Linked DNA regions of Sus scrofa. The protein of the gene in region 2 interacts with the protein of the main gene of each other region in a pairwise test. Links are inferred from orthologs where the notes say so. Each region holds a gene or a part of one and is shown on either strand. Other genes may lie near its edges. The genes, in order: PLXNB2, ARHGEF11 and PLXNB3.

Region 1 (9,715 bases), on a different chromosome or scaffold from region 2:
TGGGCCCTGGGCCATCTCCAAAGTAGCCCCTCCTCCGCACACACCCTGGGGTGGGGAGGCGCAGAGTCCACCCAACGAATGGTCCGGGAACCGACTGCCCATGGCAGGGCCCACACAGCCCCGGCCACCCCAATCTGCCACTCGAGCCGCAAGCCCCCTGGGGCCCCAAGACAGACCGTGCTCCCCAGCCCGAGAGCTGTTCTGGGACGCGCTCAGCACTCTCCCCTCAGCACTCCAAGACCCGAGGGGGCAGCAGCCAGTCACCCTGTCCCTACTTCCACCCACACAGCAGTCCGGCTGAGGCTGTCAGCAGCCAGCTTGAGCGGAGCTGACGGCAGCAGTAGAGCCCCAATCAACCCAGGCCCATGCCCTGCACAGGTGGCATGCTGGCTCAGGGCCCCCAGAGCAGAGCAGGCCAGTGGCTGGAGCTGTCCCCACCTCGGGAGCAGACACCCCTGCCTGGACACTTTGTTGACACAGGTGGCCTCCTGAAAGGCTGACATCAAACCTTTTTCCTCTTTCTTGCTCTTCCTGAGGAGGGGGCCCAGCGGGCGCAGCGTCAGGCACGGAGATCCGGGCTCGACACCGTCCCTCTGCTCCCAGAGCCCCACATGGGAACAGCTGGCCAGCTGCGCCTGCAGAGCAGGGGCGCCACCCCAGGGGTCCGGTCTCACCCCAGAAGTGCCGTCCAGGCAGGGCTGATGGCCCAGCTGGGGTCAGAACCCAGGCTCTACCCAAAGGCCTCGCTCTCCCTCCCTGGGTCCCCAGGCCAGGACGCATCTGGCGCCAGGATGGGGAGCTGCCAGATTTCGGAGGACACGCCATCTCAGGGGCTGAGGCCGAGGGTGTGGGCACCCAGCTCGTCCTAGTCCCTGCTGCCGCTTCTGCCCAGTGCAAGGGGCACCAGGTACTCAGGTGGGCCACGGGCCAGCCCACAGGGCAGGAAGCTGCCAGCGAGGTGGGGGCGGGGCTGGGGGAGCTGCGAGGCGGGTGCTGAGCTGCAGGAGGGACCAGAGAGTGACAAAAGGTGGGAAACAAAACCCCGGCTCCAGGTGGGGGCCAGCCCTGGGCTCTGCCTTTCGACAGCAGAGGCAGACCTGCTGGTGTTCCCGCGGGCACTCCCAACTCCACCGGGGGTTTGGGTCCAGTCACTGTCACAGGTTCGAGACTAGCTCAGAACAGAGGAACCCAGCGCTGGGACCAGCTCTGGTGACACTGCGGGCAGGGGCCCAGCCAGGGCTGTACCTGTGGCTGGGGAGCCCAGGGCAGAGCAGGGTTCTGGCCTGGTCAGCAGGGGTGGGGGTGGGGGGGCACGGAGGTCCTCAAAGCCCCAGGGGCAGACAGAAGAAGAAGTCCAGCAAAGGATGTGAAACCACTCAGGAGGGAAAACCATAAAGGGCCCACATGTGGTCCAGAGAGAAAAGGGAACCTCAGCACTTCCTCTGGCCCCTATCCCGCACCACAGTGCCCCCCCACGACAGGCCACTGACCCACCCTCCCCAGCCTGTAATTTGAGACCAAAGACGATTAGAGGCCCCACCCACCCCACCCCAAACACAAATAGCCCTTAGCCTCAGGGGCAGGGACCGGGCCAGCCCCCACCCCCAGTTAGGGACCGGCCGCCAGTGAACCTGCATCCGCCTGACAGAGGGAGGTAGAGGCCGGGAGACCAGCGCAGCCCCCTCCTTCTGGCCAGGCCTGGGTTCGAGTCCAGGCAGGCTGACCAGTTCATCTCCGCCCCTCACCGGCCCCCAGCCTTACCCACACCCTTGTCCAGGGCAGGCTCTGGGCATGAGGCTCCTCCACAGGGGAGAAAAGCTTATTCCCCCCACCCAGGCCAGGAAGCCACGGCAGGACAGGGGGCCTTGTCGCTGCAGCAAGAAGGACTGAGGCGTGGTGTAAGGACTTCCTGCAGAAGGACTGCAGAGTGGACCTGCCCAGACCAGAAAAGGGACCACGGGAGAGGCGCTGGAAGCCACAGCCTGTCCTGCCAGGGCACCCTCTGCCCACACCCAGAGTGCTCACCAGCTCTGACCCCCAGGCTGTGAGTTCAAGGCTGGGAACAGGACACCATGACGGCTCAAGGGCCTGCAACGAGCTGTCCTGGGGGAGAAGGGCACACGCCATATGGACCCCTCCTCAGGCTGCCAGCCCCCGCCCGTGCCTTCCACCCCAATCTCTTCCGCTCCACTCGCCTGGGCTGGGGCCAGGCCCCTGGGTTTCCTGCACTGGGCCCCAGCTGTCAGCTCTGCCTCCCACCGTGGTCCCTACAGGGCCACCGGCTGCACACATGCGAAGTGGACCCCAGGAGCCCACTCAGCAGAAGCAGCATCCCAGACAGCTCCTTGAAAGGACCCAAGGGACCCATCTCTGGCCTTGAGCTCCTCAGCCATGGGATGGGCTCACAGGTGCCACATCTAAACGTGGGAGGGGTTTGGGGGCACAAGGGCTGGGCTGTCGGAGGGGCTTGGAGAACCGTGGTGCATCAGTCGCCTGCTGGTTTGTGGGTCAGTCAAGAGGCAGGAGGGTGGCCTGAGATGCAGCCAGTGAGAGAGCCCAGTGCCCCACCCACCCTAAGCAGCCATCCCGCCCTGCCCGCTCGTCACCCCAGGGAAGCACCGGTGTGAGTAACCGGCCCAAGGTGTGTCCATGACCTGGGCCCTGGAGGGCAGCCTCAAAGGGCCCTGGGGCCACGGTGCTAAGGCCTCTGGGGTGAAGGGGGCTCCTGGCTGGGCCGCTGCCCTGGGCCCCAGGGAACAGGGTTCAGGACTCCCTCCGCACCCTCGCCCCCCCCCGCCCCCTGGAGGGGCCCGGGCCCGCACCAGGCCCTCCCAGCAGGGCCTGCCTGCGACCTCTGGCGGTTCTCCAGCCCAAGGGTGACGCATCGCCCCCACCCTGCCCCCAACCGGTCTGAGCAGCCGCGGAGGTGGCAGAGCTGCCCAGACTTGCCTGTCCCTCCCTTCGGAGGCTCTCTGCGCGGCCCCGGAAGCGGATCTCTCTCCCAGGGCTGTGGCCTCCCCCCTTGGGTGGCTGGACACGGCTGGATAATCCAAAATAATTCCTTCTTGGCAGGCGGCCGGTGGGGGAGGGGGGGACTTGCATTCCAAACCCTTGTTTTTCTCTAACTTCCCTCCCCTCCGGGGGCAAGGAGCCCCAGCCAGACCTCAAGCCCCCCTTCCTCAGAAGGAGGTGGCCCCCCCATAGGTAAGGGGAGGGAGGAGGTGGGAGGCTGGGACCATCTGCGTGCGCTCAGTCTCCTCCGGGAATTCCTCAAAGCTGACACACCACCAAAAATACCCAAGGGGCCCGGCCAGGCCCACGGTGACCCTCCTAGGGACCCTCACCTCAGAGCACAGCACCCCCCGCAGGTGTCCAACCCTCAGATGCTCCCCTCTGTGCCAGGATACCATCTGGACGCGGGGTCAGGCCGAAAGCCCCCAGCCCCCTGGGCTTGTTCTCCCACCTCCACAGGTCCTGCCCCACCTCTGCCCCAGGGGGGCACTGGGGCTGAACTTAGACCTGGAAGGAGGAGCTCCCCAGGGCAGGTATGGGCCCAGAGAGTCCCCAAGCCCCAGAACATTCCACGAGCTTTGGGGCTGAGCCTCACCCCCAGGCCTGACCCCCACCACAGGCCCCGAGCCCAGCCAGACCCCTTCCTTCTTTTTCCAAGTTGTTGGCAAGAGCCCAGTGACGTGGCAGGAAGCGCTGAGGCTCTTGAGCTCAGGGACTCCCCTCAAAATCTGCCAGACAGCTGAGCGCAGAGGAGTGGGAAGGGTCCGTCTGGGAGGGCTTCCTGCAGGAGGAGGCACACAGAGGTGCAGGGCCCGAGCCTGAGGGGGCAGGGCCCAGGCGGCCGGCAGAGACTTCCTGGGCCCCAGAGTGTCCACCCAAACCGCACCCCAATAAACCTTGGCAACTGGGCGCAGGCTGCGCGGCGAAGCAGGCGGGGACCCCCGGGACCTGCCCAGCGCTGGGCTGCGCCCGGTCCCAGCCCAGAACTGCGCACCCGCCTCGCAGCCTGCCAGGTGCGGACCAGGGGCTCCCAGGGCGGTCCTGGCTGCCGCCCTCCTCACAAGGCCCCGGGGGTGCGGGGCGCTGAGGCCCGACCACTGCCCAGCTTCCCGGGGAGAAAGCCGCGGCTCCGCCTCGGCCGCCGCCGGGGAACCAGAGCTGGGGTGGGGAGGCGGTGCAGGCCTGGAGCTCTGGCACAACGGAGACCATCTCCGCCCCCTGCACCGATCTCCGAGGCCAGAGGAGCGGGGGCGTGAGCAGGGGGGGAGCTCTGGGAGCCCCAAGGGGTCCGAGGGGCTCCAGAGGGACGCGGGCGGCGGGAGGGGCCGCGGCGCCCGGCCGGGGCCCCCTGGCTGCGCCGGGCCCGCTGTCTCGGGCTCCGCAGGCCTCGCCCGCCACCTGGAAGAGCGTGGGGCGGGAGTGGCCCGGCCCCGGACGGCCCGACACACAGACGGCGGCAGAGGCCCGAGTCGCCCTCCGCCGGGCGGCAGCGGCCCGAGTCCCCCTGCGTCCCGAGCGCTCCAGGCCAGGGCGGAGCGGCGCGGCCGGCCACCCGCCCCCCCAGCCGGCCGCCCCGCGGGCCCCGCACCGCATCTCCGTACCTGCACGTCCGCCGCCGAGGCTCGATGGCGCCCGGGCCGCGCTCGGCGCTGTGCTGCGGCCCGCGCGGCTGCCATGGAGACGGGCCTTTGTGTGGCCGAGGAGGGGCCGGAGCGCGCGGGAGCAGCGGCCCCGCCCCCGGCGGGGAGCGGGGGAGGGGAGGGGAGGAGCGGGGGAGGGGAGAGCGGAGGGGGGAGGGCGGAGGGAGAGCAGGGGCCCCACGGGCGGGGCGCCCCCCGCGTCCCTGGTGCCCGCTGGCCACGGTGGGCGCGGCGCGTTCGCGGGCCTGGTTCGGGTCCAAGTTGGCGCCAGGGGAGCCCCGGTCTGGGTACTGGAGGAGAGCGGGGGCCAGACCGAGGTCCCCGAGGCACCCTTGCAGTTCTGTCGGAGAGGGGCCGGCCACCAGCACCCCTTCCCTCACACTGGGGAACAGGCCAGGCGGGCCACGCCCTTGCCCTGTGGGGGGGCTCGGAGCTGCTGGGTCTTGCCTCCCACCCTCCTAGGGGAAGAGGGCACCTGCCCTGTGTCCCCTCAAGTACATCCTTGGCCTCCATCTGCTCTCCTACTCCCTGGGACCCCCCCCCCCAGTGAGCCTTTGGGGACCTGTGCACAGGACCCAGTTACTCTCTCGGGTGCTCGCAGGTGGGTGGTGAGATGAGCCTCTCCCAGGGCTCCAGCTCTGGACTAGAGTTTGCCCCACGTCCGTCCGGCCACTCCAGCCCCTACCCATCCTGGTCCTGATGCCCCCAGCCCCTCAGACTTGAGCAGGGGGGGGGCTCCACTGCCCCCCACCCACAGTCTCCAGCAGAGGACCCAGGAAGGATGTGGGACCCTTCCCCAGCCCTAACCTCTACTTCCATACCGGGACGCCCCCTCCCATCTTTGGGGACCCACTCTCCACCCAGCCCTTCCCCTCCCTGCAGATGCTCCATTTCCTCTATCTCAGCCTCCAACCCAGATGAAGCCACTGGAGATGGTGGGTCACCCGTCATCGGTTCTTCCTGCTACCCTCCCACCCCCACCCAGCCGGCCAAACCTTCACCCCTTCGGCCCTGAAGCAAATCACACCAAGACCCACCCCACGTTCATCACAGGGGACCCTCAAATAACCAAGTTCTGACAGGGATGCCAACTTTTGTCAAAAAAGGAAATTAAAAGACAAGCATTGTGTCACAGGGCATTTTAATACCAAAGATGTGGGAAGGCCACCATCCCAGCCTAAAAGAGAGTCTTTAAATAGAGTGCAGGAAGCTGGGGGGTGAGGACTGTCCTTCCTGTCCCTGCAGCCGCCCACTGGCGCCCTCCACCCCACCCCCACCCCGGGCCCACGCACACCACTACCCTCACACCCCGGCCTCAGACCAGGAGTTGCAGCCCCTCCAGGCCCTGCTGCCCAGGGGCTCTGGTAGGAGATGGCTCCGCCTCTTCTGCCCACCTGCCCCCCCTGCCCTCCTCACTCTCTGACCCCAGCCCCGTGGGGGGACAGAGGCTCAGCCAAGCCAGAGCCGCCCTGATCCTGGCAGGGAAGGCAGGAGTCTCTGGGGAGATGGAGTTGGCAGGACTCCACACCTAGCCCCCACCCCGGCTGCACTGTGCCCGGAAACCTTGTCTGGGCCCTCCTCGGCCCAGGCACCCAGGGAAGGCTTCAGATTCTGCCCCCCCCAGCCCCTCGCAGCACTGCCCACCCTGCCAGGTGTCCCTCTTGAAGACAACCCGCGCTGAGGTGCTGCGCAGACGCAGCCAGAGCCCTCCAGATGGCACGCAGGAGTCGGAGACCTCCTGGACGGAGGGCAGCTGAAGTCCCCCATGCAGCCCTTGGCTACTTGGGAAGGGAGGTGACCGTGCTCTGCGCTGAAGTGATGGCTGGGGCACCCCGCTCTCGGGTGGGGTCACGATGTCCCAAGCCACCCCCATGCCCGGCAGCCATGGCCCTTGGGCCACTCCCCAGACCAGACAGGCTGTCCACAGTGGTGCTTGGGGCCCCAAGGCCCTTCCGCACTCCCCGCCTCCAGCTGGTTCTCTCTCTCTGCTGCCTCTACGCTGCTGTCAGACTGCAGCCGTGCACCAGACTGTGCTCAGTTTTCTGCAGGACGGGGCCATGCCAGCTGTCTGAGGCTGTGGTCAGGGCCAGACAAGTCAATGCTGGCAGCTCTGAGACCAGCGCCTGCTGTCCCCTGGTGGCGTCACCACACGACGCCACTTGGGAGGGCCTGGACTGTGGGGCTTCAGCAGACAAGGGAAGGCCCTGCCAGGACCAGCTCAAGCAGCCGTGATGCCCATGTAGGCACCTTCAGGGCCCTGCCCCTTGACGAGGCGTCAGGGTTGGGTAAGGTGGAACTTACCCGAAGGCCTCACCCCTGCTACCCCCACTCCCCCTCCTGCTGGCTGACAGTGCTGTCACTCGGTGCTGAGCTGTGACAGTGCTGGCCATTCGGTGCTGAGCTGTGACAGTGCTGGCCACTACTGGGCCCTGTACGCCAAGGTATCACATGGTGGCATGTGTCACTTGAGAGGGCCTGTCGCTCCTTGCCAAGGAATGGGGTGTCCCCAGGCTGCTGTGGTTGTGGGGGCTCCGGCCGGAGGCACCTGGCCAGGCTGGAGGCTCAAACCCCTCCGGCTGCATGTGGGGTAGAGCCACGCAGCCGAGAAGCAGCCTGGGCAGAGGAAGGGAGCTGTGCCCAGGGGGTGTTCCAGGACTGGAAGGAAACAGTGCCCGGGACCCTCCTGGCCACCACCAGGGCCCCAGCAGCCTCCCAACCGCCCACAGGGCAGAGTTCTCAGGGCAAAGTGGCTTCCCTGCTCCCAGGCCAATGACAATGGGGAGGTGCCCCCAGGCCAGACAGACAGATGGGTGGGCTGCCTGGCAGCTACCTCCTTCTGACCTGGGCTGGGCAGCTGGGTGAGCCCAAAGGACACATCAGGTACCACATGTGGGATGGCAGGTTTCAGGCAGATGGGTGCCTGGAGGGGGCTGGTGGCCAGAGGCCCAGATCAGATTAGGGGGACCATGCTGGCCCCGCCCCCCTGGCCCAAGACCCTGCAGAAGCAAGTGGGGCCCAGGGGGAGGTGGGGCTGTGGCCAGCTCACGATGTGCCAACAGTCAGGGGCCAGCTGCGGCTCTAGATGCTGCCTTTACTGCTGGGACAGTGGTGGTGCTGGGTAGGGGCCAAGACCACGAGCAGCAGGCACCTTGCTGGGGACCTCGTGCTTGACCAGGGAGAAGGAAGCTCGGCCAGACCCAGGCTGCCAGGGGCAGCTAGGCCCCTTGACCATCGGCCCCAGGCTAGGGAGGGCACAGGATGACCTGCAGGTCCTTGGGCAGTGAGCTGATGACCGTCTCGATGTACAGCCGGGCCTGCTTCAGCGTCGCCTCCTTCACAGGGAGCTGGTGGCCCTGTGCCCGCACCTGCAGGGGCAGCGGTGGTCAGGGGCAGGGGACCTCTGCCTCTGGCTGGCCGTGCTGCACGGGGCCGGGAGGCGTCTCACCAGCCTCTCCCGAAGTTTCAGGACCAGGTCCACAACCTCCACTTCGGACTTGCCCTTCATCCAGACCTCAATGTTCTGGGGGACGAGACAGGGCCACCGTCACCAAGGCCCCTGCCCCTCCCGCCCCCTCCTCCCGCGCCCCCCCGGCCCAGCCCCTAAGAGCCGGGCCCGTAGCCCCTCTGTACTCTCCCTCAGACAGCTCCCCCTACCGCCTCACAGATGGCCTCGAGGTGCAGGGCCTCCAGCTTCTGGGCCATCTCTTTGCGTCGCTGTCGGTACCAGCCATCGAAATGAGGGGACTTGAAAAACCGCCTGTGGGGGCAGGGACGGTGGCTCTGGGGCTGAGCCCGTGTGCCGAGGGGGGCACAGCCCCCAGCAGCAGGTGCCCCAGGACCTCACCTGCTGTCCACCCACCTGTAGAGGCCCAGCCAGTCCCCCTTGAGGACGCAGGTGAGCTGGGGCCCTGCGTGCTCCAGGCTGCGCAGGAAGTCATCCTGGCGGAAGGGGCGGATCTGGGGAGGGGTCTGAGACAGCGGCCAGGTGAGCCTGGGGGCCTAAGGGGCCACCGCCTCACAGGCTCTGCACGTGGCTCAGGTCCCCACAGGGCACTTGCCAGACGTATGCCTTGACCCCGCCTGAGGACCCCCAGCCCCCAGGCTCCTGGGAGAGACCCCAGGGTGGCCCTTCGCAGCAAGGAGGCCATGGAGACCCTCTGTGCGGTCCCCACTTCTCTGCCCTGCGAGGGCTCCCTGGCCGGCGTGGGGACAGCCTGTCCCTGGGGCCCTGCCCACCCACGCCCTCCCCCCGCCCCCAGAATCAGGGCAGAGCCCCCCGCAGCCCCTCACCTTCCAGGGCGTGATGCTCTTCTGCAGGGGCATGAGGCTGGCCATGTAGTGCTCCTGGGGGGCGTGGGGGGAAGCGACAGCGTCGCGGCCGAGCCCAGGGCCCATCGGCCCCCCTGCCCTCCCGTCTGCCCGCCAGGCCTCACCAGAGGGAAGATGAAACTCTGTGTGAGCTCCAGCAGGTGCCGCCTCAGCAGCGCGGTCTGCACGTCGGACGGCCGCTTCTTCTGCAGGCCCTGGGGGCACGGGCACACCCAAAGTGGCCCAAGACGCGCCCCCTCTGAGCACGGCTTCCCCACCCCTCCAGCGCCCCAGCCTGTACCTTAAGCAGGCGTCTGAGCAGAGCCTTGTCTCGGTGGAGGTGGGCTGTGTACGCCGTGTAGAGGCCTGGGGAGGGCAGAGTGGCACGGCAGGCTCTGGGGGGTGGGGGGGCGCCCCCTTTGGCTGCGCCAGCACATCTGCCTGCCCCCCCCACCCCCCAGCGCCCCTGGGCCTGCTCGGTCCTGGGAGGAGAGGCGGGGCACAGACCTGGCTTGGTGTCCAGGGTCTTCAGCCTCGAAGGCTTTTTCAGCTTGACCTGCTTGGGAAGGTCCCCTAGGAAACACACCCCGTGGCCGGGCCTCAGGGTCTCCGTCCCGCCTCCACAGGCTCAGACCCCTCAAGGCCACACATCCCAGGGCCCCGGGAAGAGGCCACGACAGCCTCACCTGACATCCTGGGCTCCCCCACACGGAGGATGTGGGGCCAGTGCTGGAGCGTTTTGATAAAGAAAGGGT
Region 2 (9,168 bases):
GGGGTTCTTTGGAAGGTCAGGGGCCTCCAAAGAGGCCTCTCTCTCTCTCTCTCTCTGACTAGCCTAATGACCAACACATACTATGTCCGCTGAAGATATCCAGGCAGGAAGGTTGTCGGGAGAGAGAGAGCGCATTCTATAGTGAAGCCTTATAGTCTGGGGGTGGGGGTGGGTTAAGTAGCTGGCATTAAACCCGAGCCCCAAACCCTGCTCGTGCCTCCCTCCCTGGGCAGCTAGCAGGCCCCTTGTAGCCACTGCTACCTGTCGCTCTCCAGCAGGTCCTCAGGAAAGCTTCCTGTCGAGAGTCGCTGAGTCCCAGGCTCGGGGGCATCATACTGCTGGTTGTTCTCAAAGTGCTGAATGATGTTCCTCACGTTGCCTGGTTTGACTGGAAGCAGAAAGATAATGAAAGGTACTCTGCTTTCTGCTCAGGGACGACTTCTCAGGGCCCTCACTCCCCTCTAGCCCAGAAGACAGCGATGAGCAAGCATGGATGAGAACAGTATGGGGCTGAGAGTCAGGAGACATGGTTCGAACCCTGGCTCTTCTACTCCGCCGCGTGGCATGGCCCATCTCTCCACCTTTCTCAGTACACTCTTTCCTCAGGTGCAGAGTGAGAGGGTCTGGAAGCACATTTGCTGTGGCTATTCCATTTGGCGTTCACATTCTTTATCATTCTTTATTCTCTATCACTCTTAAGGCTTGAATATCGTGGTGAGGTTTTTCCCAAGAGCCAGGAACAGGTTAAAAAAAATAGCCAGGAAGACCAAAAACACATCTACCTGTGATTTGGCCATGTTGCCAGACTATCCTGAGCATTTTTCAAATTTATGTTACTTTCCAAGTTCACTGCTTCTAGTTTTCCTTGACTTTCCTTCTTGTTCTTTCTGCCCCCACCCCTGCCTCTTGGTCATTAAAGAATCAGACCCTTCATTACCGGTGTGTGTGTGTGTGGGGGGGGTTGTCTTAGGAGAAACAGCAGAGAGATGTCACTCTCTGACATTCAAATCCAGATGCTTTTCAGAGCTAAGGCAAAAGAGAGCTGCTCTTATCCAAAGCTGAGGGGGCAGATAAAAGAGTAAAAAGCCGTAAGGGATGTCACATGGAGACCCCGGAGAAGCTAGGCTCAGGGACTCAGTAGTTCCCATCTTCAAGGTCATTTAGCTCAGCTCCAGGTCCAGGATGTCAGAACAGGAGGTGGGCTAGAGATGCTGCTTTGCCTGGACCAACAGGAAGGATAAGTGGGATGGGGAAGCTAAGACAAATAACCCTTGGTACCAGGCCCTGGTCTTAACCATATTAATCAGAGATTTTCTTTCTGTCGCACCCACGGCATATGGAAGTTCCCAGACAAGGGGTTGTACCAGAGCTACAGTTGCCGGCCTACACCACAGTCACAGCAACTCGGGATCCAAGCCATGCCTGTGACCTACACCACAACTCACAGCAATGCAGGATCCTTAGCCCACTGAGCGAGGCCAGGGATCGAACCTTCATCCTCATGGATACTAGTCATTACCACTGAGCCACGATGGGAACTCCTAATGAGAGATTCTGACATTGGCACATACACTCTTACAAATCTTCCTGTGTATCTAAGCTTGAGATTCATAAGAGAATTTCCAAGCCAGAAGAAACAGAAAAACATTTAGCTGGTCTCTTCAAAGCTCACCACTTCATGTTCTTTAGGCAGGTGACATTTTGCTGAAACTGGAAAATATGTGGCTGTGTGTATGCGTTTGGAGCAGGGGCTGTTACCATCACTCCCATCTTGTAGATGAGCGTCAGATCTACCTGTCCCAGACTGAGTGTGCTTGAAGACCTTGGGGCAGCTGCAGGAGCCAGGGGCAGCTGCACAGCCACAGCCTTGAGCGTCCCCTGGCTGGGTGATGATGCGGCCGCCTGGGAACATCCTATAACAGAACGCCTCCAGGCGGAGCCCACAGCGCCCTCTCCCACTGGCCACCGGAAAATGCCCAGTTGTTCCTGGGATATAGTTACACTCTAGCTGTGACAAGCAATAGGTGTGGTCCTGAGATTTGGTATAAGTGAATAACCCAGAGCAACAGTAAAACAAACAGCTAGAGAGGAGCACATTTTTGAAAAAGAGCAGTTTTCACTGGTAGCATTTGCTCTCCTTCCTCCATTTTCTGAGTGACCATGAAACTAAACAAAAGTCAACTGTACGTTACTAACAATCACGTTCTTTTGCTAATAAACAGGGGCAAGAGCGATGATCCTAAATGGCCAAGTTCTCAACACTGAGGCTTTTTAGCTTTGGTGGGTGTTTGGTCTTTAGATACACATACAGATTTGTCTGATGTCCTGGGAACCTGAGAACATCAAATCCAATCTTGAAATGATAATAGAAAGATCTGACTCAAAGGTGGTGAATCCCCAGCATCCTTATCTTGCTCCTGGGATCTGTAGCCCCACCCTGGGTGTTCCTGTCCCCTCTCAGGCTGACACAAAGCAGCAACTTGGGCAGGGCTGCTGGTCTCAGGCCCGCTGCTTGCCTCATGCTGGCCCGGGGCAGGGTGGATGGGAGGAAGTATGTGTTAAGAACTAAGGGTCTGGGTTTCAAGCTTGTTCTTTTATTTTTTTCCCATTGTTTTATGGACTTTTTCTTTATGGCCGCACCCATGGCACATGGAAGTTCCCAGGCTAGGGACTGAATCAGAGCTGCAGCTGTGACTAGCTGGATCCTTTAACCCACAGTGCTGGGCTGGGGATAGAACCTGCACCTCTGCAGTGACCTGAGCCCCTGCAGTTGGATTCTTAACCCACTGTGCCGCAGAGGGAACTCCTTTTTTCTGAATTCTTTATTTTTATTGTTTACAATAGCATAGCAAGCCTAGGAATTTAACTGTAAAAATAATTTTGAAAACCATTATTTTCGTCACTTTATATGAAATGAATTCTAGCAAAGATTAACTTCCTAATTGCATCTCACTGCTATCTCTCCTCTTGATTTACTACAGAACCTAGAATATATTAATCACTTAATTGTATGCATATGGACCTTGTTGATGGGAAATAAACCTGTCTAGTTCTAAGTGCTAATAAGCCTTTTTGGGTTACTATCTATTATATGTATATATATATATATACATATAATATATAGTACATATATATATATATATTTTGCTTTTTAGGGCTGCACCTGAGGCATATGGAAGTTCCCAGGCTAGGGAGTCAAATCAGAGCTCCAGCTGCCAGCCTAAGCCATAGCCCCATAGCAAGCCAGGATCCAAGACACATCTGCGACCTACACCACAGCTCAAGGCAATGCCGGATCCTTAACCCACTGAGTGGGGCAGGGATCGAATCTGCATCATCATGGATACTAGTCAGGTTTGTTCCTGCTGAGGTTTGTTCCCACAACAGGAACTTCCTATATATTTATTTTTAATACACAGATTCTAGAAGATATCAGGTCCTCTAACATACATGGGTTAGGGTCATTGTTTTTAACTGTTGCAAAGTTAGGAGTCTAAAGAGACAGAGGTGCTACAGTGAAGGGCTTAAGTAAAGGAGATGACAGAAATTAAAATACCCCAAAGCAAAACTGTTAAAGGCTCATTATTAACTAAACAAAACAAAACCAAAAAAACCCCTCACATAACATTCAAAAATAAGGATTTTTATAATTTTTTCAATTGAAAACAAAATCTGAGGAATTCGTATGGGACATTTCAACATGTGAGGGTTTTCCTCACTGACACAGAGCCCTGGATTTTGGAGCCCCATCCATGGAAAGGTGACAATGAGGGAGAAAGGCCTCAGGCCATGGAACAGTCTCTGAGGGCCCAGAAGCTGGTCTCTGCAGGCACCTAGAGGAGCTGCTCCTGGGGGGCAGCGCCCCAGCCCCACCCACCCTGCATCAGGCAGGCAGAATCCTGTGCCCAGCGTGAGGACAGGAACCCCTGGGCAGGGCTTTGTGCCACAGGGAGCTTCTACAGCAATGGAGGTGCATATAAGAGCAATGGGGTGAGGAAAGGGAAGGAAGAAGGAGAGCCAGGGCAGGAGGAGACGAAGAAGGAGAGGAGAAGGGCAGACAGGACTTGGGAAATGGAAACTCAATGCTAATGCAAAGAAAAACCCAAAGAAAATGGTCCTTTTACCTTCCACAGGGGACAAGGGAATATGAAATGCTAAAAGAAAACAAACAAAAACAAAAGTAAACCATGAAAAGTCGAATTAATGTTTCAAGAGTCAAAATAAAAATTATATCAAGCAGGAAAATGAAAGGTAGTGGCAAAAATCAGGGCTGAGCTAGCGAGTCCCCGCCTTCCCCCACTTCCTCCAAGGCAGCAATTTCCGGAAAGGCAGCTGGCCCCGGGCCATCGCCCTTCCCGGGTTCCCAACACTAATTCTGGGGTCTTAAGATAGTGACTGGGAGGGCCAGCAGCAACGTTCAGAGATGACACACAGCTGGGAAGAATGGGTGACAAGCTCAATGGAGGTCTGGTTACCAATGGCATGAGGGGAACCTCTGGGGCCCCAACCTGCCCCCTTTCTACCTAATTCTGCTAAACAGTAATTGAAACTCACTATCAAGGGCCCATCCTAACACACAGGCCCTCAGGACAGACCAATCCCAGGGATGAAGGCGAAGCAGGCACTGACTGTCAATAGGGCAATCTTGCCCAGGGGGAAAGTTCCTCTTCATGGCTGCTCAGTACCTACAACCGGCTTTGAGTTTCTAGACCCATGGACTGGCTCGGCCTCCTTGGCTCTGCAGCAGTTACCTGTACCTCAGGCGCCTGTGCTGGGGGTGGCGAAGGGAGAAGACAGGAGCGCTGAGGGCAGGCTGCGATCTCGGAGTCTGGGCCTGTGGCTCCCAGATGCACAGGAAGACCCTCTGCCCATGAATTGGCCTGTGAAGGAGCTGGGATCCCCGCCCAGTGCCTTCTCCCCAAATACTCACTGCTCTGGGAAGAGCCTTTGGGCTTCCCGATGTACTTGAGGATTGGGTTTCGCTTCTTGTCCTCCAAGGCATCCTTTTCTTTCTTGGAATTGCTGCTCTGCTGAGACAAAAGACGCTAGGGTTTGGAGAAGGTCCCAGTACCCTAACTTGGCCATGGATCCCCCTGTCACTGCCCCAATGACGGGCCCTAAACAAGTAACTGGAAGACAGACTCATGCCTGTACCCAGGACCAGCACATGTGCTTCTGGCCTGGGGCTGGAGGAAGGGAGAGCATGGCTCTAGCCTGGGGATTCTCAATGACTCCACGTCCAAAGGCAGCTAGACCCCAGTTTGCCTCAGTGCAGGGGGCCACACCCAGAGATGCAGGGGGCCACACCCAGAGATGGCTGCTTTCTGGGGCAGCTCTGTCACCTTCTTGGTCTTCGGGAAGAAGGGTAGCCACTTGTCCTTGTCAGGAGCAGACTGGGCCTTTTCAGCTGCGTTGGAAGGTCGTGTTTCTCGAAGGCGGATCCCCGCATGGCTCATGTAGGTGTTGAGGGCGAAGTCCATGGGGGCACTGCGAGAGGAACGGGGGTGAGAAAGCTCAGCAGGTGGCAGAGCCCGAACTCTGCTGCACAAAATCTCGCCACCACCCGGTGGGTGGCGAAGAGCCAGGGTGTTCGGAAGGACGCCTGGGATATTCAAATGGGACAGCAGGCAGAAGCCAGCAAAAGTCTTGGCTGTCATGACTTCTAGAAGTTGTGTTCTTTTCCTACACAGAACTCCACCTGACGAGAGGACAGGGGTCTGCGGAAGGACGTGTCAGTTCCCCAAACAAAAGCAGGTAAGGAGAACAGGCCTGGAGAATCGCTGTGGCCCACGGCTAATGTCCTCAGGCACACACGAGAGGGCTGAGTGGCAGACGGATGGGGGAAAAATGCCAAGCGGCCCCTCTAAGTACAGGTCAGTTGCCTTCGCCACCAAGCTCCCACCCCCGGGACAGGGGGGAAAAAGAGATGGAAAGGATCTGGCGAGTCGCTTCCAAGTGCCACGAATGAAACTATCCAGATCTCTGTGTTTAAAAATCTATTTGGCTCTCAATTTGGAAGATGGATTATCCACTTTGCGGATTCAATGAAGCAAATGCTTTGGCCCTGGCTTTCCTCCTCTCTCAAACAGACTTCTAACCCCACCGTCTCTCCCTTATGAAGTGTGTGTATGCTCAAGGAATGCACACTCATTTAACATCGCCTGCTGAGAAACAAAAAGACATGTATGTATACAGGCTGAAAGGGAAAAAGTGTGCCAAGAAAAGCCGTGTGTTGTGCCCCAGCTCCCCAATGCAGGGGCTGCTCCCGGGGGGTGACCCCATCACTGTTCCTTCTTTAGGCGGTTTACGAGAGAGAAGTGGGGAGGCAGACACAGGGCGACGTGGGTGGAGGAGACCAGGAGCAGGAGTGCCGGGAGGGCTGGCAGCTTGGTGTCTTCACACCGAGGAGCAGACACACGTCCCAGGCAGCGACCTCCTTGTGCTATGGTTACACGGGCGTCTGGGAACTAAACTTGCACAGCTGGTGATCCTATGATGCTGCGGGTTCCCCTGTGATGGGCAGAGATGCAAAGCCCGGTAGCTCAATTCCACTCCTTCCCACCTTGAAACCACACCACAGACTCACTCACCTCCTGTCTTCCTCGTATTTGGACCTGGAACAAAAGAAAGAACAGATGACTCAGACTGCAAAGGCAGAGGCTTGTCCGCCTGTGCCACACCGGGAGGCGGGTGAGTTCTTTCCTAGAGGAAGGGATGGCGGGGAGGGAGTCAGACTCAGACTCCTGGTCTCAGCCCTGGAGCCGCCTTGGGGCTCAGGAGGTGCGGGTCCTCACTCCGCTGAGGGACTCAATGGGCAGAGAGTGATGATGATGATGGAGTCCTTCTAGCTAAAAGGAAGGGGCGCGTGGCAAATGCAGCCTCTGGCTTGCTATCTGTTTCAGCCTCTGAAGTTAGGGAGGAAGAGGCTCCTCCCTGTGTCCACCTAGAACTCAATTAGAAGGGTCGGGCTGACACTGAGGCAAGAGGAAAGACGGTGAGACAGCGGAGATAATACCTTGGGACCTGATTCAGGGGAACCTATTTAAAAGAGGTAAGTGGGAACAGCAATTAATATCTGTGTGCTCGCTATGGGCCAAGGGCTATTTACATGTATACTATTTATACCCAAATAATCCATTACATCTCCATTTAATGAAACGGAGGCTGCATTCTTTTAAATACAAGCCATTAGAAGCAGGGTGCCTATGCTGTCAATAACAATCCCATGTAATTCTGTGGTGCCTACAATCTCAGAACAGGCTCTGGCAGCTTTTTTGCTTCCATCCCTGGTGTCATCGGGGTGATCAGCGCCATCTGATCGCTAGGGAAACTAAGGCCCAGAAAGATTCAGGGCTCAGCTGAAGGTTGGAGGGTTGTTTTCAAAGACGAAATATGTCCTCTCCGTGGGACCTCTCATCAAATGCCAGATTCCTATTGGCAGCTGCCTACTCGGTTCTCCACTTTGATGTCTAAAAGAGATCTGAGATTTTGACACGTCTGAAACCGAGGCCCTGATTTTCTACCACAGGATCGCTTCTCACACAGCTGTACCTAACTCAACGGATGGCAGCTTCGTCCTTTTAGTCATTTAGGTAAAAAACGTGGAGTTTTTTTCCTTTTCCTTGGTTTTTCTTTCTCTCACATCCTATACATCAATTGTTAGGAAATCCTCCCGTTGGCCCTCCTGTCAAAACATACCTGGAACTCCTTTCACAGCCCCAGGGGCAATGCTCCCATGCCAGCCCTACCGGGGGACTTCCTGTAACTGACCTCCCTGCCTGGAACCCTCCTTTGCTCTCCCACCACTCTCAAGTTGCTCCCGGCTCCAACGGTTCCTCATTCACTGGGAGGAAAGAAACTTACAACTGTCCACAGCTTCTGGGAGGCCGCCTCTCCTGTCGCCCCTCTGACTTCTGCACTCAAACATGTCAAGCATGTCGCTCCTCTGCCCTGGCTGTTCCCTCTGCCTGGGATGCTCTTCCTCCAAGATGTTTCCGAGGATGCCCATGCCCCCTTTCCGAGGATGCCCATGCCCCCTACATGTAAACGTCTGGATGAGGCGCTATTTGAAGGTGCAATCCCCTGGCTCAGATGCTCCTGGGCCCCCTTGGCCTGCTCTGTTCCCTGATCCCCAACCCTCATTTTCTAATGTACTCTGCAATTTACCTGCATAATACACACTGCTTTTTCTTCCCACAATAGCACAAGCTCCACAAACATTGTTTCTCTACTAATGCATCCCAGGAGCCTAGAACAGTGCTTAGCACCATCGGAGACTCCATAAAAACTTGCTGGCTTGAAGTATCAGCATTAGTAGAGGCTACAGAGATTGTCTAGCCCAAGATCTGTCATTTTATAGATGAGACCGAGGGGGATGCAATGGCTTGATCAAGGTTACACAATTACTGAGTGGAGAAGCAGTACTGGGGTGAAAATCTACCTCTAAGCCTGGAAGTGTCCCCACAAAGTCAACCCAGGCACCTGAAACACTTTAGAAAATAGGGCTGGAAAGAGGCATTCACAGCAGCTGTGCCAGGAGTTCCTTCGTAAGTTTAGTTTGGTTAGTCTTCCGATATGATTAGTTAAAAACGGTCTGATTCCTGTAAGCCAGTTCTGCCTGCCTCCTGAAGGAACTTTACCCCCTGGAGAATCACTGCATGGCTCTTGTACTCAGTGTCAGATGCGATCTTAGCGGCAGGAAGGGGCCAGAAAGCTCACTGCGATGCTGAGGCCCGAGGTTTGTTATAACCACCAAACTGCCCTCAGAAGCTCCAGGCTCCACAATTCCCTTGAAACTCCCACAGACCCGGCCTGAGAAATGGAGCAGGAGGGCAGGATTCTCCCCAGCTTTCGGGGGAAGAAGGATCAGGCAAGAAGTGGCAGAGGGGGAGGGACTAGGAAATAGACCCACAAACTGTGTCAAACTGTTGGGCATGTTCAGGGGTGGGAGTGGAACCGGAGACTCACAAAATGTCTCCTAGGGCAGCCAGCTGCTTCTCCGCCACCTGGCGCTCGCGGAGAGGGTCCCCATCCAGGTCCAGCAGGTCGTTTTCACCATACAGGCTGCCCAGCCCCAGCGTGCGCTTTGTTCTGAGCCAGAGAGCGAAAGAAACAAACGTATACCAACGTCTGACAGAGAGGTGCACAGACACACACACCATACACACA
Region 3 (9,769 bases), on a different chromosome or scaffold from region 2:
CCAGATCCTTAACCCACTGAGCGAGGCCAGGGATAGAACCTGTGTCTTCATGGATACTAGTCAGATTCATTTCCGCTGAACCACAACAGAAACTCCAAAAATAAAAATCTTTAAAATATTAAAATAATAGTGGCCATGAAAAAAAAAAAAAGAATCCATTCAGAAGCATTCGCCGTTCTGAAACGTGTATGTACCTGCCTTATGACAGAGGCTCGAACGTACATCAACCAAATAGCAGCAGTGAAAGGAAAAATTAATAAATTAGTAAATCCGGGAGTTCCCATCGTGGCGCAGTGGTTAACGAATCCGACTAGGAACCATGAGGTTGCAGGTTCGATCCCTGGCCTCGCTCAGTGGGTTAGGGATCCGGCGTTGCCGTGAGCTGGGGTGTAGGTCGCAGACGTGGCTCAGATCTGGCATTGCTGCGTCTCTGGCGTAGGCCGGCGGCTGCAGCTCCGATTCGATCCCTAGCCTGGGAACCTCCATATGCCGCGGGCACGGCCCTAGAAAAGACAACAAGACAAAAAAAATAAAAAATAAATGAGTAAATTCATCACAGTAAATCACACTGCCTCTCACTCCAATTGGTAGCTCAAGCAGACAAAACTGGTAAGAATATAGCACAAATTAAGCAAGCTTCATTAACAGCCAGAAACTACACATGCTTCTCAAGTTCGCCTTGAACACTAAAACCCACCACAGAACAAATCTCAGCAAATTCTAGAAGAGTGGGTATCATACAGATGGTGTTCTTGAATGTGATAGAATTATAATGAAAATCTAATATACGCTGGAAACGAACAATGAAAACACTGCCTGTGAAAACATGGGCTGAAACTCAAGCAGTATTTAGGAGGAAATGTACAGCCTGAACGCAGGTTGGTAAAACCGCAGTAGAATAAACCCAAAGAAAGGAAACAAGGAAATCAGAGACAGCAGAAATTCATGAAAAAGAAAAAAGGAAAGATCAATAAAGCCAAGCGCTGCTTCTTTGCCATTGGTAAAAAAAAGAAAAGGCTCTGGCAAGAATAAGAGGAGAGGGAGTTCCCGTCGTGGCTCGGTGGCTAAGGAACCCGAGCAGGATCCATGAGGATGCACGTTTGATCCCTGGCCTGGCTCGGTGGGTTAAGGATCTGGTGTTGCCGTGAGCGGTGGTGTAGGTCGCAGATGCAGCTCGGATCCTGCGTGGCTGTGGTGTAGGGCGGCAGATGCAGCTCCGATTCGACCCCTAGTCTGGGACCCTCCATATGCCAAGGGTGCGGCCCTAAAAAGACCAAAAAAGGAAAGCCTGAACAGTCCCGTAATTATGAAAGAAGTTGGTAACATGTCAAATGTACGGATAGCGGCTAATGGTTGCAGAAACAAGGCAGTTCTAGATCGTTTTACAAATGAACTCTATCAAAGCTTCAAGGAATAATCCCTGTGTTGGATAAATTGTTCCAGAAAAAGAGGAAACGCTCCAACACCACCACCACCATCCAGCCCAGAAAATGCAAGGGTGGAATCACCAGAAAATCATGACCCATAATTGACCACATCAACTGACGAGAAGAGGAAAATTACGTTATCAACTCAGTGTGCTCAGAAAAAGCATTTGATAAAACTCAGCAGGGCAAACTAGGACTGGAAGGGAACTTTCTTAACATCATAAAGTTGTCTATAAATATCTCCTGCAAACATTATAACCATAATTAAAGATGAAACATTAAAAACATCCTCTTTGCTTCCATGAAACCTTGTAATGTCCGGGGAATTAAAGTGAGGTGGAATTCCCGTCACGGCTCAGTGGGTTCAGAACCCGACTAGTATCCAGGAAGATGCAGGTTCGCTCCCTGGTTTCACTCCGTGGGTTAAGGATCCAGGGTTGTTTCACTCCGTGGGTTAAGGATCCAGGGCTGCCGTGAGCTGTGGTGAAGACGGCAGACGTGGCTCGGATCCCGTGTTGCTGCGCCTGTGGTGTGTGCAGTTGCAGGTCCCATTCCATACCTAGCTCCCCCCCGGGCACGTACGGATGCCCCAGGTGTGGCCCTGAAAAGAAATTTTAAAAAGTAAATCATATATATAAGAAACTGGAGTTAAAAGGATTGGATGTCAAAACAAACAAACAAAAAGCATTGTCTCGTGGCTAAGCCAGTTAAGGATGCAGCGTCGTCACTGCAGCGGCTTGAGTCGCTGCTGTGGCATGAGTTCGATCCCTGGCCAGACAACTTCCACACGCCCCCGGCATGGCCAACAACAACAACAAAGGGTTGGAGAAGAAACCCAAAAGAATCCACAAAAGGAATTATTAGACTTAACGCAAAGGGTTTACGAGGTGGGCTGAGAGAGAACACACACAAAAGTCAATTGTGTTTCCTTGTCGTACACACCAAACCAACACGATATTATAAGTCACCTCTAATTCAATTTTTTGTTTTTGTCTTTTTGCCTTTTTTCTAGGGCCGCACCCCTGGCATAAGGAGGTTCCCAGGCTAGGGGTCTAATCGGAGCTGTGCCAGAGCCACAGCAACGGGGGATCTGAGCCACGTCTGCGACGTACACCCCAACTCACGGCAACGCCGGATCCTGAACCCACTGAGCGAGGCCAGGGATGGAACCACTAAGCCACAGCGAGAACTCCCTAATTCAATTTGTTAAAGTCAACTGTGTTTCTATGTACCAGCAGAAGAGGGTAGGACTTCCCCTCATGGCTCAGCAGTTAACAAACCCGACTAGGATCCCTGAGGTTGCGGGTTCGATCCCTGGAGAGACATCCTACGCTCAGTAGACGGGGAAACAATATTTTAGAGACGACTCGTCTCCAGAGGGATTCAAAATTCAACAAAATCTTCACTTACTCCTTCAAAAAAAATCCCAATAGAGTTTTTCCTGGAACTATGACAAGCTGTTTTTGAGCTTCTAAGGAAAACTAACAGTGCCTAGAACAGCTGAGGAGGTGAGATCATTTTGAAAGATCAGGAGGACCGGGCGGAGGAGGAAAAGGAGAAAGAGAAAGCGAATTTTAAGAAGTGACTCCCCCGTATCAAGACCTGCTTTGAAACCTGAGTAAGTAGGGAGTTCCCTGGTGGTCCAGTGCTCGCTACTTTCACCACTGTCGCCTGGGGTCAGTCCCTTGTCTGGGAAGTGATTATATTCAAACTAAGACATGTGTTCGAGATCCCTTGCGACGCAGTTTAAGGATCCGGCGTTGCCCCTGCTGTGGCTCCGGTCGCCCCTGCGTGCAGGCTGGATCCCTGGCCCAGGAACTTCCGTGTGCCATGGGCGTGACCACAAAGAAAAAGGAAAAAGGAAAAAGTTGTGTTCGTCAAATGATATCACAAGCAAACTGCAAAGAAACACAAGTCACGGGCAGAAAGAGGACATAACAGACCAAGGACCGGTATCCGGAATATGCAAAGAATCCCTCGAGACAGTAATGGCAAGACCACCTACCCAGAAAAATCGGTGAAGGCCTGATCAGGCGTTTTGCAGAAGCTCGGCATTGCCAGCGGTCGGCCAACGCCAAATAAAAGCCCAGCGAGGTAGCACCATTTCACACCCAGTGCACTCGGTCCAAGTTTTGGTGCAGATGAGGAGAAGGAGAAAGAAGTGGCTGCACAGTGGCATCGGGAATGTCGTGCGGGCCAGCAGCGCCGAAATTGATTCCTCTGCGCCCGGCGCCCTGACAGCGTGTGTGCCCGGTGACCGGGCGAGTCCCCAGCCGGCATCGGGAGAAGCCAGCCCTCAGCACCCCTGTCAGGGACACAGGCATCGCCAAAGGACAGCCGCCAGGGTAAGGAGCCGTTTGCAGAAGGAAAATGACAGTGGGACTCCCTTTGTATCATTTTAAAGCTCACAAAATTCACTTAACCCGCTGAGCAAGGCCAGGGATCAAACCTGCATCCTCATGGATACTAGTCAGGTTCTTAACCCACTGAGCCACAGCAGGAACTCTACCAAACTTCCTTCACGAAGACCCCAACGGCTCCATTGGCTATGTCCTCCCACCTCTCGGACCCCTCGGTCCTCCCAGCCTCCCCTCCACTGGCACCCTGGCTCCCTAGGGAGCAATGCCCCAGAGAAAAAAACCCAGGGAGCTCCTGCCTTCGCCGCTGATGCCATGCCTAAGGCCAAGTCTCTGGGCTCTGCTCCTCCCCAGGGCATGTCTGGATGCCTCCCCTCTCTTGATGCCCAGAGCCACCCCTGGGCCAGGCTTCCCCCAGGCCAGGCCTCCCCCATGCTCTCCACCTGAGGGCCACCCGTTTGCACCCTGCCCAAGCGCAGAACGAAGTCCAGTGCTTTTGCCACAGTGCATTAGGTTTAGCGCCCCGTGGCCTGATGGTTAAAGGGCAGGCGCCTTGTCACTTCCTTGCTACATGACTTGGTGCAAGTTCCCTGACCTCTCATGCCACCTTCCCCACCTGTGAGCCATGGGCGATAGCTGCTCCCCCCTGTGGGGTCATCGGAAGGACTGGAGGATGACAGTAGGAGTAGAACCGTGGGGTTCAAGGTCAGCTTAAACCTCACTTCCTCTGTGAAGGTCTCCCTGATACCCTGAGCAGCGCCACCAGACTGGACTCCCCTTCCTTGCTGACCCACAGTACCCGCCACGGATGGGCTGTCCTAGCAGGAGGGTCCTGTCTGCTGGCAAGTAGTTCTGCCCCTCAGACACTTGCGGCAGACGGCAGTGGGCTTTGTCTCTGAATGGCCCCAGGGCAGGGGCCATGTCTGGCACCCAGTAGGCACTTCATGGAAGGCTGTGAAATGCCCAACTGCCTCCCTCGCCCCCCTCCCCGTCGTGGGAGGGTACCACCCCGCTCTCACCCTTTCCCGACAGGTGCGCGCAGCCAGCCTGCCGTCATTCCTCCAGAGGCCAGCAGAGGGCAGCAGTGCCCTGGCCCGCGCCGCTGTCGGGTGAAGGGGCGGGCGTGGAGGGGCTGGGCTGCCTGGGTGGCCCGCCGGGACAAGTCGGGTTGGGCGTTGGGCGCGATTGCATTGTGGGGCAGGAGGCTGGGACTCCTCCGGGACACACTCCTGGCACCACCAGCTTCTCCTCAGCCCCTGCCGGCGGCCCACCCAGGTAGGCCGGAGCCTGGGCTGGCAAGGGCACTGGGGGCAGGGGTCAGCAGGTCACCAGGTCAGTGTGGGGGGGTGCCATCTGGGGGCATGCTGGGGCCCAGGAGAAGCCAGGGGTCTGCAGGCGGACTAGCCTGAATCCGGCAAAGACGCCAGCCCCATCCCTGTGCCGACACCGCCTGATGCCTGTGGCACAGTTCCTTCCCCACCAAGACCGGGGGGTGGCCCTGGAGCTGGAAGGGAGGACTCGCGGGGCTTCTGCCCCTAAACGGGAGACCTGGCACTTCCGGCCACAGGGCAGGGCATGGGGTGGGGAAGCAGCCCGCCTGGCTCCCTGCCCCCACAGCCACCCAACCAGCCCAGCCAGGTGGCAGGAGCCTGCTGCTAACCACCGCGCACACACGTGGAGAAGATGGGGACCCCAACTTGAGCACACCTGTTACTGCACCTCGGGCCACAGCCCTCGCTCTGCCGGCCTGGTGTACAGATGGCGCCCTGGGAGGGTGGCAGGAGAGCCAGCTGCAAGCTGCCACTCCCTTCCCCATCCCAATCCCATGTGTGCAGGACTGTGTCTCCCCCGGGGGAGGGAGAGGGGACAGCCGGCAAAAAGCCGCCAAGTCTGAAGCTAAGGGCTTGCTTCCCGCCCCCTCCTGTGCCCCCTCCAGAAGCATCCTCCACCAGCACTGCCCACTGCCACCAGACTGTACCTGGCACGACTTTGCCAGTCCCCGGGGATGGGGCCTGATGGGGCCAATCTTATTCCGGGCTAAGGGGGCAGGGGGGTTCGGGGAGAAGGTCTCCTGGGCGGGCTGCCTTGGCCAGCCTCTCCCCTGCCCCCAGCCTGGACAAAGGCAGGCATTGAGGGCCAGGACTTGCCTCCAGCCCGGCACCAAGGCTACTAAGGCTGAAGCTGGCATTGCAGGGCTCAGAGCCTGGCCTTTGCATGGGGGCTCCATGGCCTACCCTGTGCCCTTCACAGAGACCCCGGGGGGCGACACAAGGGAGGAGCACGCTGGCTGGCACGGGGCATGGGGGAGGGGTGCTGCCTGTGTAAGGAAACCCTGTCCCTTTGTCCCCAGATCCCAGGGGGTGTCTCTCTGGGGGTGGGGAGTGACAGGGAGCCCCCTGGGTAGGGATAAGAATACCAGATAGCGGGTCCCTGGCCTGGGCCTCTGGACAGAGGGGACAGAGGGGACATTGTTGGGGTGGAGGCAGGGCTGCCTCGGCCCGGCCCCCATTGACAAAGCTGCCAGCTGTGGTGGCGCCTGGCTGCCAGGCCCTCGGCACCCCCCAACCCCCTCCCTGCCGCCTCCCCTGGTGGGACGTGAATGAGGCCAAGCCTCAACTATCTCCCTCCCACTCAGGACAATGCCCCCCCGCAGCCGCCTTGTGCCCGTCACCACTGCCCCAGGGCAGCTGAACTGAGATGGCCACGCTGCCCGGGAGGCACCTCTGCTGCTCCCCTTTGCCACGGTAAGTGCCTGAGCCCAACGTGCCCAGAGACCTTCCCCTGGGGACGCGCAGGGCCAGGAAGAGCCCGAGGAGCCTGGACGCCAGCACTGCACCTCCCGCTGCGGTCGCCCACCCCAGACACTGGCGCCGATAGCCGGGGTCTGGAGGAAATGGCCCTGTCCCCAAGCCGGTCCTGACCTTCCTGCCTGTGTTTCTGAGATAAGGGCTCAGGGGCCTTTCTCGGGGCTCTACCCGCAGCTGGCGTGCCCGCCAGGGCCCCGAGCTGGCAGGATGCTGAGTGACAGTGCGCCTGCTCCCAGCCGGCACACGCCCACACGCCCGGCTGTGCGGGACCCTAACTCAACTTAGGACCTGCTTCCGTCTGCATCCGAGGTCAGGAGGAGGCTGTGGCGCAGGGGCTGCTGTGAGTGGATCCTGGCTGGGCAGTGAGGTGGCAGGACCCAGCGGGAGGCCCACTCGGAGCCTCCTCTGGGCGCCACCTGACAGGTGCGGAGGCACCACGCCCGCTGCTGCCGGGCCTTTCTTTCAAGCCCTCCCCTCCGTCGAGGCCTCCTCCCAGCTGTCTTCTCTCTTGTGGCTTCCCTCCCCACGCCACCCCTCCCTGTGCCGCTGGCGGAGCCCATGCTGGAGCCACGGGGGGGTGGGGGCAAAGGACCGGCCTCCTCCGGCCCCTGCACCCCGCGTGGTCTCTCGGTGCCCTCAGCCCTCACCACCGCCCTCGCTGGCTTTGCAGGGGAGGGTCCCCCCCGCCCCCCCGCCCTCCTCCCCCTGCTCTCCCCGCCCCCCTCTCCGTTGCTCGGGGTCCCTTCGCTGGTGCTCCTGTGGCTTTTCAGGATCTGCCCCCTCCGCGTTGAGAAGAGGATGAGGAAAAGTCCTGCTTCGCACATGCATTCGCCCTCCCCGCCCGGGTCCTCTGCCCCTTCCGCCTGCGACCCTTTCTCTCCCTCGTTTTGTCCCTCCCTTTGCTTCTCTCCGCCCCCGCTTTCTGCTTCCGTCCCTCTGCCCCTCGGTCCTCCCGTGCCTCACTTTCTATCCATCTCTCTGCTGGACTCTTCCATCCTTCCGTTCCCATCAGCGCCCTGACTGGCGCCCTCTTGCCCGGCCTCCCCCCCCCCCAGGGCCCCGCGATGGCTCCCCGGCCTCCCCTTGGCGCCCTCCTGCTGCTCGTGCTGCCGCTGCTGTGGCCACCACGCGCCCCGACCCGGGCCCACCGCTTCTCGGCACCCAACACCACCCTCAACCGCCTGGCACTGGCGCCGGACCGGGGCACGCTCTACGTGGGCGCCGTGAACCGCCTCTTCCAGCTGAGCCCCGAGCTGCGGCTGGAGTCAGTGGCCGTCACGGGCCCCGTCTTCGACAGTCCCGACTGCGTGCCCTTCCGGGACCCGGCCGAGTGCCCGCAGGCCCAGATGACCGACAACGCCAATCAGCTGCTGCTGGTGAGCAGCCGGGCCCAGGAGCTGGTGGCCTGCGGGCAGGTGCGGCAGGGCGTGTGCGAGAAGCGGCGCCTAGAGGACGTGGCGCAGGTGCTGTACCGGGCCGAGGACCCTGGCGATGGACAGTTTGTGGCCGCCAACACCCCAGGAGTGGCCACGGTGGGCCTGGTGGTGCCTGGGTCGGGCCGGGACCTCCTGCTGGTGGCCAGGGGCCTGGCGGGCAAGCTGTCGGGCGGGCTGCCGCCCCTGACCGTGCGCCAGCTGGCCGGACCGCAGCCCTTCTCCAGCGAGGGCCTGGGCCGCCTGGTCGTGGGCGACCTCTCTGACTACAACAACAGCTACGTGGCCGCCTTCGCCGATGCCCGCTCTGCCTACTTTGTCTTCCGCCGCCGGGGGGCCCGGGCACAGGCTGAGTACCGCTCCTACGTGGCCCGGGTGTGTCTGGGAGACGCCAACCTCTACTCCTACGTGGAGGTGCCCCTCACCTGCAGGGGCCAGGGCCTCGTCCAGGCCGCCTTTCTTGCCCCGGGCACCTTGCTGGGGGCATTTGCTGCGGGCCTGAGGGGAGCACGGGCGGCCCTGTGCGCCTTTCCCCTGGCTGAGCTGGACGCGAGCATGGAGCGGGCCCGACGCCTTTGCTACACGGCGGGAGGCCAGGGCCCCAGCGGCACAGAGGAAGCCACTGTGGAGTACGGGGTGACATCGCGCTGCGTCACCCTGCCCCCCGTGAGTGCCTGGGCCCCCTCTCTCCTCGCCCGAGGCTCTCCTTCCCCCTTCTGGCAGAGGCTCCGGCCCTCTCCCGGGCCTCGTCTTACTTGGCCTGCCTGCCCCTTCTGTCCCTGTCCCTCTGAGGACCTGCAGCGTCTCCGACCCAGGGCCGGGGCTGCCGGACGCTCTCACGTGACAATGCCCCACGGCCGCTGGTCTAGAGGATGCCAAGGAGGGGCTGGCTCAGTCCGAGCCCCCTGGCTCGCCTCAGCCTGTCTGTCCTTCCGCCCCACAACCTTAGCTCTTCTCGCGGCTGCCTTGTCATCCTCTCCCCACTGCAGATCTGGCCCCAGGAAGGTACCTCCTACCTCCTCCGAGAACCGATCCCCCGCGCTCTGCCCCGCAGGACTCCCCCGATTCCTACCCCTGCGGCGATGAACACACGCCCAGCCCCATTGCGGGCCGCCAGCCCCTGGAGGCTGGGCCTCTGCTGCAGCTGGAAGAGTCCATCAGCGCCGTGGCAGCCCTCCAGGCAGATGGGCACACGATAGCCTTTCTGGGGGACGTCCAGGGCCAGCTGCACAAGGTAAGGGCCTGGGCAAGGAGGGGGTGGCCCTAGGCCGGCCCCCAGCCCCCAGCCTCCATGCGGCCAGGCCGGGCCAGCCTCAGTGGCCTGCCTGGGTGCGCCCTGGCCCTGGGGCGGCTCACAGAAGCCCCAGATTCCTTCCACCTGGGCCTGTGTCCTGCTGGCAGGTGGGAAAACCATGCCACACACCGATGGCCGGCTGGGTGCCGCCTCCTATCCGGGCTCCCAGCTGTGTGGCTTATGATGCCCCCCGGGCAGCCCCGTCCCCTCCGGCCGATAACGGGAGACGCGGACTTCTGGTGGCCTCCTTGTCCCCCACAGCTGCCCTTCTGCTCCTGGCACCCAAGGGCCCCACCATGCCCGGCCTCCCTGGCTGGGGCATGCCGAGTCAGGGGGGCACCATGGGCAGGCTGGATGCCGATGGGCCTACCCAGCCTCCCCGCCATGGCCAGGGCTCCCCGGCCTGGCGGGAAGGGGAGCCGGCTCTGTGGGGCGGGATGTTCCCTCCCAG

What was found.
Region 1: the proteins of ARHGEF11 (region 2) and PLXNB2 interact in a two-hybrid assay, tested with the Homo sapiens proteins (2 studies listed by BioGRID). The link is inferred for Sus scrofa from reciprocal best matches to the Homo sapiens genes ARHGEF11 and PLXNB2.
Region 3: the proteins of ARHGEF11 (region 2) and PLXNB3 interact in a two-hybrid assay, tested with the Homo sapiens proteins (2 studies listed by BioGRID and IntAct). The link is inferred for Sus scrofa from reciprocal best matches to the Homo sapiens genes ARHGEF11 and PLXNB3.

What each region holds. Positions count from the first base shown.
Region 1 is NC_010447.5:385,396-395,110, reverse strand, and holds the start of PLXNB2 (plexin-B2), read right to left. Parts: upstream 4,765-9,715; 5' UTR 4,614-4,764; intron 1-4,613. Other genes in the region: protein DENND6B, read right to left, coding at 7,895-8,017, 8,098-8,172, 8,307-8,409, 8,497-8,651, 8,943-8,996, 9,086-9,175, 9,262-9,533, 9,647-9,715.
Region 2 is NC_010446.5:93,134,206-93,143,373, reverse strand, and holds part of ARHGEF11 (rho guanine nucleotide exchange factor 11), read right to left. Parts: intron 9,091-9,168; coding exon 8,968-9,090; intron 6,615-8,967; coding exon 6,591-6,614; intron 5,488-6,590; coding exon 5,343-5,487; intron 5,031-5,342; coding exon 4,931-5,030; intron 4,155-4,930; coding exon 4,125-4,154; intron 389-4,124; coding exon 262-388; intron 1-261. UniProt on the Homo sapiens protein: May play a role in the regulation of RhoA GTPase by guanine nucleotide-binding alpha-12 (GNA12) and alpha-13 (GNA13). Acts as guanine nucleotide exchange factor (GEF) for RhoA GTPase and may act as GTPase-activating protein (GAP) for GNA12 and GNA13.
Region 3 is NC_010461.5:124,503,045-124,512,813, forward strand, and holds the start of PLXNB3 (plexin-B3), read left to right. Parts: upstream 1-4,908; 5' UTR 4,909-5,059; intron 5,060-6,419; 5' UTR 6,420-6,528; intron 6,529-6,765; 5' UTR 6,766-7,014; intron 7,015-7,646; 5' UTR 7,647-7,655; coding exon 7,656-8,690; intron 8,691-9,078; coding exon 9,079-9,258; intron 9,259-9,769. UniProt on the Homo sapiens protein: Receptor for SEMA5A that plays a role in axon guidance, invasive growth and cell migration. Stimulates neurite outgrowth and mediates Ca(2+)/Mg(2+)-dependent cell aggregation.